Mus musculus: one gene and its partners. Each later gene encodes a partner of the first gene's protein in a complex. Links are inferred from orthologs where the notes say so. Each region holds a gene or a part of one and is shown in the gene's direction. Other genes may lie near its edges.

The links. Proteins that work in one complex are often made in the same cells at the same time.
Region 2: the proteins of Smc4 (region 1) and Ncaph2 are in contact, whole or in part, in a cryo-EM structure (PDB 9F5W), measured with the Homo sapiens proteins. The link is inferred for Mus musculus from reciprocal best matches to the Homo sapiens genes SMC4 and NCAPH2. Residues at the interface, in NP_001002800.1 of Homo sapiens: Ile100, Leu101, Gly102, Pro103, Ile112, Gly113, Pro114, Ser117, Gln1151, Met1152, Leu1155, Phe1227, Lys1228, Ser1231, Ile1232, Phe1235, Tyr1236, Glu1239, Gln1240, Asn1253, Asn1254, Phe1256, Glu1257, Arg1261, Gly1264, Ile1265, Tyr1266, Lys1267, Thr1268, Tyr1269; in NP_689512.2 of Homo sapiens: Arg494, Ile495, Trp498, Glu499, Thr501, Val502, Leu505, Leu506, Gln509, Glu510, His512, Phe547, Cys550, Arg551, Met553, Leu554, Leu557, Gln558, Ala560, Asn561, Tyr563, Val565, Glu566, Ile567, Gln569, Leu573, Glu574, Ala576, Val577, Asp578.
Region 3: Smc4 (region 1) and Ncaph share a complex: the UniProt entries of both Homo sapiens proteins name them as parts of the condensin complex. The link is inferred for Mus musculus from reciprocal best matches to the Homo sapiens genes SMC4 and NCAPH.

What each region holds. Positions count from the first base shown.
Region 1 is NC_000069.6:69,021,624-69,025,368, forward strand, and holds part of Smc4 (structural maintenance of chromosomes protein 4), read left to right. Parts: intron 1-602; coding exon 603-836; intron 837-2,541; coding exon 2,542-2,727; intron 2,728-3,745. UniProt on the Homo sapiens protein: Central component of the condensin complex, a complex required for conversion of interphase chromatin into mitotic-like condense chromosomes.
Region 2 is NC_000081.6:89,354,419-89,358,518, forward strand, and holds the start of Ncaph2 (condensin-2 complex subunit H2), read left to right. Parts: upstream 1-1,300; 5' UTR 1,301-1,417; coding exon 1,418-1,525; intron 1,526-4,100. Other genes in the region: Lmf2 (lipase maturation factor 2), read right to left, coding at 9-37, 146-399, 938-1,031. UniProt on the Homo sapiens protein: Regulatory subunit of the condensin-2 complex, a complex that seems to provide chromosomes with an additional level of organization and rigidity and in establishing mitotic chromosome architecture.
Region 3 is NC_000068.7:127,131,155-127,135,373, reverse strand, and holds the start of Ncaph (condensin complex subunit 2), read left to right. Parts: upstream 1-1,419; 5' UTR 1,420-1,506; coding exon 1,507-1,525; intron 1,526-4,219. UniProt on the Homo sapiens protein: Regulatory subunit of the condensin complex, a complex required for conversion of interphase chromatin into mitotic-like condense chromosomes.

The sequences.
Region 1 (3,745 bases):
ACCTAAACCTTTGGTCTATAATATTTGCACACACACATACACACACATGCGTTTTTTCACTTTGAAATAAAAAAAGTTAAGTGAAAAAAAAATTGTAATTGTAGGAAATGTGAGGTCAATACTTGAGCATATAGCAATTCTGTACATTTGGTTTGTCGTTTGATTTACATTGGGGTTTTTCTATGTATCTTTACCCCTTGTTAATGATAAAACTATCAATGAAATTGAAATGAAATCTTCCCATGATGCATATTTTTCAACAAATACATTTGAAAAAATTTTGTGAATAGTTCTTATACCTGGTAATGTAGAAACAGTATGAAATCTAGGTGTAAGTCCAGTGTTTCCTTAATTATTACATTTTTATTTCAGAAATGAGCATGCTATGCCAGCTTCACAAAACTCATAGGACATCAGTTAGGAAGAGACAATGAATAGTGTAAATGGAAAACTAGACATGGGCTACTTTAATCTACTCCACTTATTCAAATTATTTTTTAATAGTACTCTGTAGACCTTCCTTTCTTAATTGACTCAAGAAATACAGTTTCAATCTAAACTTGAAAATATATTTCACTTCTAATGAACTCATATTTTAATAGATTCAAGAAAAGGAACTTATGGGTTTTAACAAATCAGTAAATGAAGCACGTTCAAAGATGGAAGTTGCTCAGTCAGAACTTGATATCTATCTCAGTCGACATAATACAGCAGTGTCTCAATTAAGTAAGGCGAAGGAAGCCTTAATTACAGCTTCTGAGACTCTCAAGGAGAGGAAAGCTGCAATCAAGGATATAAACACAAAGCTCCCTCAGACGCAACAGGAACTAAAGGAGGTAAATTACTTCTGTATTTCATCTGCATCGTCATCTCTAGAGTTATATGTGGGAGTTGTTTGTTTTGTTTTTAATGTCCAAGTTTAAAGTGGTTGTTATAAAAAAATTTTCTTAATATACTCTTGAATGAGGAAACATTTTAATATTTGAATTTAGTAATAATTAGCTGGACTTATAAATGTGGGTAGGGAGGTTCTATAGCATGTACAAGGCCTGGGTTCCATCCCTAATACATCCCAAAAAAGAAAGAATGGGAGTAGAGTCACTATTGTCTCCAAACACAAATAACCACTGCCACAGTCCCATAGGAATAATTAAACATTTCTCAGGCTGGATATGAAGCTCAGTTGGTAGAGTGCTTACCTATCCCTAGCCAGGAATGTCAGTGTGCCTATAATCTTAGCATTTGAGAGGTTGAAGCAGGAGATCACTTTTAAGACCAGTGTTAGTGGGGCTGGAGAGATGGCTCAGCGGTTAAGAGCACTGACTGCTCTTCTGAAGGTCCTGAGTTCAAATCCCAGCAACCACATGGTAGCTCACAACCGTCTGTAATGAGATCAGATGCCCTCTTCTAGTTATTTGAAGATAACTACAGTATACTTACATATAATAAATAAATCTTTAAAAAAAAGAGAGAGACCAGTTTTAGCAACATAGTAGATTCCACACTAGCCTATTTTCTCCCTCCCAAAAAAATGTTTCTCTAAATAGATAAATGTGGGTAACTTATATAAACATACATGAAAAGTAACAAAGTTTTTAAAATTTCTTAGTTAGACATCCCCACCACCTCCCGCCACCTGGTTATTTGAGGAACTGGAGAGGTGGCTTAGCAGATACAAGCATTTGCTACTCTTACTAGTTCCCAGCACGCGCATTGGGTGGTTCATAACTACCTGTGACTTCAGCTCCAGGGTTTCTGATACTCTCTTCTGGACTCCAGGGAAACCTACACCTACACCTACACACACACACACACACACACACACACACACACACACACACACACACAGAGGTATATATAGTTTAAAAATAAATATTTTTAAATTTTAGTAAATTTATACTGTTTGATCATCAGGCAGTTTCCTGATGTGTAAAATTTAAATGTAAATTAAATTATATCCAGTAATTATTTCTAGTGATTTGTTTTCTTTTGGGATTGTTTTTTATACTTTAAGCTTTTACTCTGACTGGGTCATAAGTAATAGAGGAGAATAACAGTTAGAGAAAGATGGCTGTTTCTAAATTGGGAATTGCGAAACTAAATTTGGGTGTATGATTCTTCTGGTTGACAGCCATTTCCGCCATCTTTTCCATCTCTGTTTAGGAACTATACCTTTTTGTTTTGTTGTTTACTTAGCCAAAAAGACAACAACCACAGAACTGCCCAGCTACACTTACCCTGGAATCCATTTCCTGGATTTGGTTTTGTTTAGGGCAGAACTTGAGAAAAATCTACTAGGGTTTTTATATCCCTATACTTAAAGAGATCTGGGTTTCCTCTTTTTGAGCCAAATAATTTATGCTTCTTTTAAAATAGGAGACACTCATCCGAATGTTTAAAGCCAGGCCAAAATAGCACTATGGAAGCTCAGTGTTACTTAGGGGCCTCACTTATTATTGTTGAAACAGTATAAATAGTTTTCTGCTGCTCTGTAGTGTAGTAAAGATCAAATGCTTGTACGTTTCATCTTCTCACTTTTAGAAAGAAAAAGAACTTCAGAAACTGACACAAGAAGAAATAAACTTAAAAAGTTTGGTTCATGATCTTTTCCAAAAAGTTGAAGAAGCAAAGAGTTCCTTAGCAATGAATCGAAGTAGGGGGAAAGTACTTGATGCAATAATTCAAGAAAAAAAATCAGGCAGGATCCCAGGAATATATGGAAGATTGGTAAGTAGATTTACGTTTTACTCAGAAAAGTCCTAAGAGCCAGGGTCTATATGAGCTCTGATTAGCCTTAAGCCAGCTGTAGCTAAGGTTGACCTTGCACTTCTGATCCTCTTCGGTCTTCCAAGTGCTAGGTCGGCGCTTGGCACTATACAAGAAAAGTTTTTTCAAAAGAGGGGGTTGGAGGGAGACAGGCAGGCCATGGTGATGCATGCTTTAATCCCAGTCCTTGGGAGGCAGAGGCAGAATTCAAGGCCAGCCTGGTCTACATATTGAGTTCTAGGCTGACCAGAGTTACACGGTGAGACCCTTTCTTTAAAATCAGTTTTAGGATGTGGTGCAATATTGCTTAGAGATCTGTTATCCTGTTAATCACCATGGCTGATTTGACTGATCTTACTAAATAAGCTTGTGCCTATTCTCTGTTTCTCCCTCACCGTTCAAAGTATGTCTTTCTTGAAGCTGCACAACTCATTCTAACAGATGACCTATCCATTTGGAAGAGGACTGATTTTTTTTATTTTTATTTTTTAATTTGGTCAAAGGTGTACCAAGTTGCTTTCCTTGCTAGGCCCAGACCAAAAAAAAAAAATTAATATAGTCTAGGTTTCATAACATACTTAACATTTTGGTTATGGTTTCGGGAGGTAGACTAATTTAGAACTCTGGTAGTACTAGTTTGGGGGATCTATACCTTTCTTAGCCTTAGCATGGAAGAATGCTATATGATTTAGAATGCTGTAAGTATCTCTATTCTATTCATTTCTTGCCCTGCAACCATAACTGAAACCTGAACCCATACAGTTGATGGTTCCCTATCAGCCTTCTGAAAAAAGAAACAATGATCTGGAAGGACAAATAGAATTTAACCAGCATGGTTACATCTATATCTGATATTAGATGGCTCCTACCTTATTTTCTTAAAGAAATGATCCTGAGTATTTGCTGTTAATAGATTGCTTCATAGCTACTTACATAATTTTATGCAACTTTGACTAAGTTAAGAGAATTGTTTAGCTTA
Region 2 (4,100 bases), on another chromosome or scaffold:
TCACTCACCACTGGAAATAAAGGAACACTTGGCCCACCTGTAGGGAGAGAAGTGGTCAGGGAGCCACTGTGTGTCTGCTGCATCAGGTGAGGCAGAGAGAGAGGGTGGGTTAGATGAAGGCTGAAGTTTTAAGTGTCTCACTTGCCTGGTAGGCTGATCGGTATGCAACCCAGAGCAGCAGGTAGACGAAGGGGTGTCTCAGAGAGTTCAGGAGCAGGGCGCCCAGGGCTAGCACGGTGCCCAATAAGGTCAGTAAATCCAGACCTTGGGCAGTATCCAGCCCCAGTCTTGGTGCCTCCCACAGCAGCGTTGGTGTTTCCCACAGCTGCTGCCACAGGCCCTTGCCTTGGGGCCGCAGTGTTCTTCGAGCAGGAAGGATGCCCTCTGGGCCATAGAGGCCTGTGGGAGGGTATGTCAGGGCCAAGTCTTAGACATCTTCCCAGTCTAACATGCACATGAACTTAGGCCCCGGAGATGCTCCACCACCAGCTCCTGGCATGCAGATGTCCCAAACCCCCAACTCCAGGTTGTGCTTGCAGATGTTCCCATCCCAGGCAGGGCTTGCTCTGTCTACCAGATGGTCTCTCTCTCTCACGTTGGAAATTGTTGACCCCCAACACCAGGTTCAGAAGACCTGATTCTGGGTCAGCACCTTCTGTCAATTAGAGCGCATCCCTCTCTTACCTGCCCACAGAGTCCAGGTAGAAATCTGCCACCCACTCCCCTCGGGGTTTTTCCCTAAGCCTAGATGAGACTACTAATAGTTAAGGGAAATCGACCCTTGTGCTTCTTTTTCCTCCACTTTTGTTGCCCGCAAACTACCACCCCTTAATCCCGCGCAGAGAGAGGCCTGGACTTTACACCCGCCTCAGAGGGCAGTGAAGGAAGGGATGCTACCACGTCCACGTGTGACGATTCAACCCCTCCGCGCCCTCACCTGGGATCTGGGTGTAGAGGGACGCAAAGGCGAACAAGTAGACAGCGGCCACACCCTGTAGGAAAAGCTGCTGTGGGACCCGGGAGCTCGCCATGTCCGCTACGCGGTCTTGCCGAAGTAGTGCCCTCTAGTCTCCTAGCTGCCCCCAGCCCGGCCTCTGGCCCACGCCGCAGCCGGAATCCGTCAGTCCGGTCGGGTCACTGAGCTCCACCCAGTGCCAAAGAACTCACCGCTAACCACCTAGAAACTTAGTCTCCTCCGCTCCTCCAGGCCCCCCCCCTAGACACGGAGCCCCGCCCCCGGTGTAGGCCCCGCCCCCGTCGGGCCCGCTTCTTTACTTCTTCGAAACTGGGCCCGCCTGACGTCATACGTGTGCGCGCAGTGCCCTGGCTACGTACTTCCGGGGCGGGAGCACCAAAATGGCGCCAGAACCAGTAGCGGGTTGAGCCATGGTTCCGGGCTTCTAGTCCCGTTCTAGACATGGAGGATGTGGAGGTGCGCTTTGCTCACCTCTTGCAGCCCATCCGGGATCTCACTAAGAACTGGGAGGTGGACGTGGCGGCACAGCTGGGCGAGTATCTGGAGGAGGTGAGGGCGGCGGGGGAATGGCATCGGCCTGGGCGCTCAGGCTGCATTGCCACCCCCCGCCTCCGGGTCTGTAGCCGTCTGGTGTGTCATCCGCAGTCTTGTTTCTTTCCTCACCCCCCTTCAAAATCCAGCCTGCCTCTCGAAACTTTCAGCTAGATTCTCCCGGAGCTGTCCTTTTCAGGCCTCTGTCGGTTAGCGAGCTGTGAAGTCGATTTGGTTGGATGATAATCATTTTTCTCCAACAAGTACATTATTTCCGTTTTCTTTGGGGGAATACAATACATTAAGAAGCAAACTTTTTGTTTTCCCCTTTTGGGGGCGGATTTAACCTGGGGCTTTGGACAGGTTTGGCAGGCACTCTACCACCGAGCTTTTTTTTGGAACCTGTTTTTCTTCTTGAGCCAGGCGCCAAGGCAGGTCTTAAACCCGAAGTCTTCTGTCCCAGTCTCCCGATTATTTGCAACTACCAATCAACCCTACCATACCAGGACTCTTACAGTAATGGAGAGAGATCTGGTTCCCGAAGGAAAAGGGATTTTGTATCTTAGACCTCAAGCCCCGCCCACACGATCTTCCCGCAGTGCGACGCACCCATACCCCAGGCTCTTAATTTGAACCAGTTTTGTCCAGAAGGATCCGCCCCCTCCCCCATCCTGTTGGTGGCCCAGCCCCTCGCCGTAATCTAGCCTATCAGCATTCCATTCCTCCGTTTTGTTTTTTTTTAAGTTCAGGTCTATTCAGTCACTGTCTGCTCCGTTTCTGCACGTTCACACTTTGGCTCAACACAATCGGATCCCACTACTGAATAGTTACAGGTCTCAACTCGAACTGTAGTGGTCTTCGTATTTAAAAATAAAAGAGACGCTCGAAGTGCCCTGTTGGGGAGATTTCTCGGTCTGACAGCTTCCTTTTTGAAACAGTGCTCTTAGGATTTCTATTTGACTGCTTCTGTTTTCTTTCTTAAGTGTCGAGCTTCTTGGGGTGGAGTCTTCTTTCCCTTAAAAATAGAAAATCTTACTTGTGTGATTTTTTTTTTTTTTAAATACAAGTTTTCAACTCCATGTGGTGGGATACACCCATACCGATCTTCCTTGTGAGCTGTCCCAGATTTGTTTGTTCTAGCCACTCCCTTGGCATGTGCTGGGATGTTACTCGAGCTCTTGGATGTTATTTAAAGTGGAGCTTTTGGGTTGTGGTTCAAATTCTAGTCCTCTATTTTGGTAGTGTTTCACTGTTTAACTAAAGGTGAAAATTAAGAGATGTGATAAGGCCTCATGTCTCACACCAAGTTTACCAATGAATTGTGTCAGTTATATTGCAAGAATATACTTCCTTCCCCACTATATCTGGTCTAGGTGTATTAAACCTAGATATTTAAAACCTTCTCATCCAGGCTCTTAGATTGGACACCATCCAGTCTGAAGAATTAAAACTGGAGACAGGGATGGGGGCGCAGGGACCTGGAAAGCTGCCTCATCAATTCAGAGCACTGACTATTCTTTCAGAGGACCCAGGTTCAGTTCTAAGCACCCACAGGACAGATCGCAGCTGTCTGTAATCCCAGTTCCTGGGGATCCAGTGCCTTCATCAGGCCTCCACTGGCACCAAACATACAGGTGGTACACAGATATGGATACAGGCAAAACACCTACATCATTTTTTGTTTTTAGAAAATTTAAATCAGGGCTAGAGAGATGACTGGATAAGAGCACTTGCTGCTCTCGTAGAGGACCTGGGTTCAGTTCTCAGAACCAAAAAAAAAAAAAAAAAAAAAAGTAGCTCACAATGGCCTGTAACTCTACTTCCAGAGGTCCCAGGGCCATTTTTGGATCCATGAACCCCTGCAAGCACATGGTGCACACACATTAGTGCAAGCACACACACATCTTAGGAAAAAAAAAGTTATAACCAGGCCTCAACATTGCATAGTTGTTTGCTTGCTGGTTTGTGGTCTGTCTTTACCCTACAGTATAAATTCTAGAAGGGTAGAGATTCGTATATGCTTTCTTATTCTTTGTAGAATGTCTGACACAGTAGGTGCAGGATAAATGCTTATTAAATGAACATGTATTTTTTTTTAAAAGACTTATTTATTTATTATATCTAAGTACACTGTCGCTGTCTTCAGACACCCCAGAAGAGGGCGTCAGATCCCATGATGGATGGTTGTGAGCCACCTTGTGGTTGCTGGGATTTGAACTCAGGACCTCTGGAAGAGCAGTCAGCGCTCTTACCCGCTGAGCCGTCTCTCTGGCCCTTGATGATCAACCTGCACTGCACAGTTGGCTGAGAAGCGCCAAGAACAGTATTAAGAGGTCATATTGTGGAATCAGGTTTTCTTAAAAGGATCTGTGGGCACACTGTTAAATTTGTTTCCTGGCTTGGTCAGCTCTTCTGCTTCAGATAAGGCTCCTTTCCTGCCCCCGGGTCTGTTCCCATGATGTCTTTAATCTCAGCACTTGGTAGGTGGAGGGAGGAGGATCAGTTCAAGATCATTCTTGGCTCCAGAATCCATGTGAAGCCTGAGCTATAGGAGGCCCTGTTTCAATTATCAAATAACAAGAAGACTATGCCA
Region 3 (4,219 bases), on another chromosome or scaffold:
AACAACATTATGAACTAACCAGTACCCCAGAGCTCATGTCTCTAGCTGCATATGTATCAAAAGATGGCCTAGTCGGCCATCACTGGAAAGAGAGGCCCATTGGACTTGCAAACTTTATATGCCCCAGTACAGGGGAACGCCAAGGCCAAAAAGTGGGAGTGGGTGGGTAGGGGAGTGGAGGGGTGGGTATGGGGGACTTTTGGGATAGCATTGGAAATGTAAATGAGGAAAATACCTAATAAAAATTTTTTTAAAAATCCTGAATAATAAAGTAACTGCTGGAATATCACTAAAAAAAAAAAAAAAAAAAAAAAAAAAAAAGAGTAGCTTTTGGGGTTAGAGAGGTAGTTTAGAGTACTCGTTGCTCTTGCAGAGGACCTGAGTTTCATTCTCAGCACCCACATGGTGGCTCACAAACATCTGTCATTCCAGTCCCGGAGGATCTGACACCCTTTTCTGATCTTCTCAGGTACCAGCCATGCATGTGGTAAATATACATACATACACACAGGGAAAACACTCATACACATGAAATGAAATATTTTTTTAAAAAGTAGCTTTCAACAAAAGGCAGAGTTTTGGTCACCATAATGAGGGGTACTGCTGATAGGCAGGCAAATAATGTCAAGGATGCTAAACAGCTACACCCCAGCCTCTTTTTAAAAAAATGATGGTAGGTAAATGATTTCCAAAAAGCTCTTTACAAGAATCTGGACAAAAATTTAGTTTTAAATGTGTGTGCATGCATGTGTATAGATATATGAACACAATGCTCTGGTGCAGATACACATGCCTGCACAATGTTCTGGTATGTCCATGTATAAGTAAGAGCATACACAATGCTCTGGTATGTGTGTGTATAGACATGTACACACACACACATACAGAAAACTCTTTGGAAATGTACACACATATATAAAAACTACTGGGGGTATAAACATAAGTAAACACAATGTTCTAGGGTGTGTGTACACACGCATACACAATGCTCCTGGAAGAGTATACACATGTAAACGCAATGCTCTGGGGCCTGTGTACACATGAGCACACACAATGTCCTTGTGGGTGTATACATACACAATACTCTGGGTGGAGTCTACACGTGCATACACAATGCTCTGCATTCCTTCTTGCCTGCCTGGAACTTCCAATAAGGGCAGCGTTTTCTACCGGCAAAGAACCTCGATTCCTCAGAAACCTGCCTCCCCGTTACAATCCAGATTCTAGGAAAGCACAGCCTTCGCCTGCCCAGATCCACACATCCTACTCCGCGCCCAGCGCTCGGCGCCAGAATGTTTCCAAACGTCTTCAGCTGGGTCACCGCTGCACCTAGTTCACTCGCGCGTAGACTCAAAACTGTCCAAGTTTCCGGGGCCACTCTGATCAGCCAGCCGCCTAGGCGGCCTGCGCAGGCGCACCAAAGACCACGCCCCAGTGACGTCACGCGGCGGTTACCGCGCTTGGCGCTCGCGATTTAAAACTTACTCCGGAGACGTGGAGAGCAAGATGAGAATTCCGCGCTCAGGTGAGCTCGAGTGGGTCCAGGCGCGGCTGGCAGGATCAGGACCGAAGGGTGCTCGCGTGGGCAGGTCCAGAAGGGACGAATGTGTTCGGCGGGGTTCGGCCGGGGGCTCCGGCGGGGGAGGGGAAGAGAGTGCAAGGGAAAGCGGGGCGCTGGGCCAATCAGGACGCAGCTGCCAGTGGCGGCTGGGCTCTAATACTCCCCGCGCCCTGGTTCTAACGGAGGATAAAGTGGGTTTTTTTTGTTTTTTGTTTTTTCTGGACTGGACGTTGTGTGGGGAGCTGTGGAAGCAAAGTGTCGACCGCTCTGTGTTGAGCATTCGTGCCTGTGTTTTGGAACTGATTCTAAAGTCTTGAGGGCTTCCTTTGGGACAGACCTTCGGTCAGACGCCGAGATTCGCAACCGAAGAAGCCTGGGCACTTGAGATGGAGACTGGAGGATTAGAAGTTCAAGGTTGTCCTCAGCTATAGCGACTTCGAGGCTAGCCTGGATTACAGGAGACCCACTCTGAAAGGGGGCGGGGGGTGGGGAACGAAACAGATAAATACCTTTTCCTCTTGGAGCTTGTGTCAAGTTGAGGTAGTATGGCAAATATTTGACAGATAAAACCTAGTGCTATAACTCCTGTCCGTTATGGACTCGAGATTTTTAAGCAAACATTGAGAAGAACTTTATGGGCTGAGCATCCTGTACAAGAGAAGAGCTAGGAAGGAACCTGGACTAGTCTAGGAATTAACTACACCGTAGGTTCTCAACCTTTGGGTGGCAGCCCCCATGGGGAGGTGTCAAATGACCTTTACACGGGGTTCGCCTAAGATCGTCAGAAAACACAGATATTTACATTATGATTCATAACCACTAAATTTACAGTTATAAAGTAGCAATGGAAAATAATTTTATGGTTGGGGGTCACCACAACATGAGGAACTGTGTCAGAGGGTCACAGCATTGGGAAGGTTGAGAAACTCTGAGCTAGACCGTCATAACTAAGCTTAGTGAGACTGACCACCTGGTAGACCTAAGTCATAGTTTTGGAATAATAGTTTCAGTTTGGATTTGTTGCCTGTGACTTCTGGAGAGGCGCTCAGGTGAAGGGGTTCGTATCTACTGGGCGAGTTTGACCGAGGTCCATAGGCTGGGAGGTAGATTTGTTTTTCTTCATCATGGAGATGATAAAGCCATGGGTACCGGTGAGATCACTAGACAGACCTTGCAGAGAATACATTCAGGACCTGCACCAGTTGTCCGGGTGTGGGGAGGAAATAACTCAGGTTATGGGTACCACAGGGCCTAGAGCAGCTCAAGAAGAAAAAGATGAGTCCCGAAGTGGGCACTTCAGGCTGAGAACCGAAGCAGAGCAGAGGAGCTGAGGAACGTGCTCTTGACTTCAGTAACAATCTGTTGAACTAGACTCTTGTCTACTGCCCACGGCAGAGAGCAGCGGGGGAGGAGTTAGCCCCTCCGTGCTTCCAGTTTCTCAATTCCTTTCCATACCCACATTTACAGAGTCACAGATGTCTTGATTTATGCCCATAAAACGTCTCTCATCTCCTCTTTTGACCTTTTTGTTTTGTCTTGGTGTGTCAACTATACTCCTCGACCTGTAGGAAGCATTGTAATGCCTTTCCTCCTGCTGCCCTGTGGACAAGCATTTGTTGTTTATTATGTCTCTTTGTTTACTTTTGTGGTGAAGCCTTGTACCATGGCGTGTGTGTGCCAGGCAAGAATTCTACATTGCTCTATACTCCCTGCCTCCTTTTATTTCTCCGTGTTCCTATAAAATGTCATCGTGCCACCTGTTCCTAAACAGCAAGTTCTGTGCCCGGGTCACTCCCCCCCATCCCTCCTCCCATTTCTCTCCCTCTCTCCTTTTCTCCCTTTTTCCCTCCCTCTTCCTTCTTCTCAGCACATGCCCACCTACCAGCCAAGGATGAGCGCTAGGTCAGGACTCCTCACTAGCTGTACCCACAGCCAAGTGATGGTCTTCCATTCAGGGCGATGGTGAAGCAGAGACAGCATAGAGACAGAGAGCTTGTTTGCTTGCCTAAAGTTTTCTTAGCTAATTCATTATAAAGCCAGGTTTAAAACAGTGCTCTCTGTTTCTTAAATCGGGGTAGGGATGAGGATGAGTTGGGTTCTTTTAACTCCTTCCAGGAATCTTGTGTCTTGCTCTAAAACAGTAGGTCAGCAGTGCCACAGTCACACGTTGAACATGTCATTGATGGGAGCCTCGTCAGCTGTTACCTGTGTGTTCACTATCCCCCCACCCCCACCCCCGTGTGCCCAGCTCATTTCCTCTTATTTACATACTGAGGTCGGCTTTTGTTTCTGCGGCTTCTCACCATGCAGTGCCACCTTGTGTTCCTTTCCCTCCTTATTTATGTTACTTTCCTGGTCAGTCAATATGATCAGGTGTCTCCCTGTGTCCTCTTGGCAGTGCCGAGAACGCTGGTTAATTTAAACACTGCCATTCTGCACACTTGACAGTGGCCAGAGAGACATCCTCAGGGCTGCTGAGTGACTGGTTCTGGGCCCTTCAGAGCTTCGTCAGCAATGCCATCCTCTCCACTTCATTCATTCCTAATCCTAGATGGCCACCTCTTCCTTTCCTTAGCTTTCCAGTGCCTTTTCCCTGACTGGCCCCCTAGCTGCTAAGTTCACCTGCGTTCTAGTCATAAAGAGAGTAAAAGCCACAGA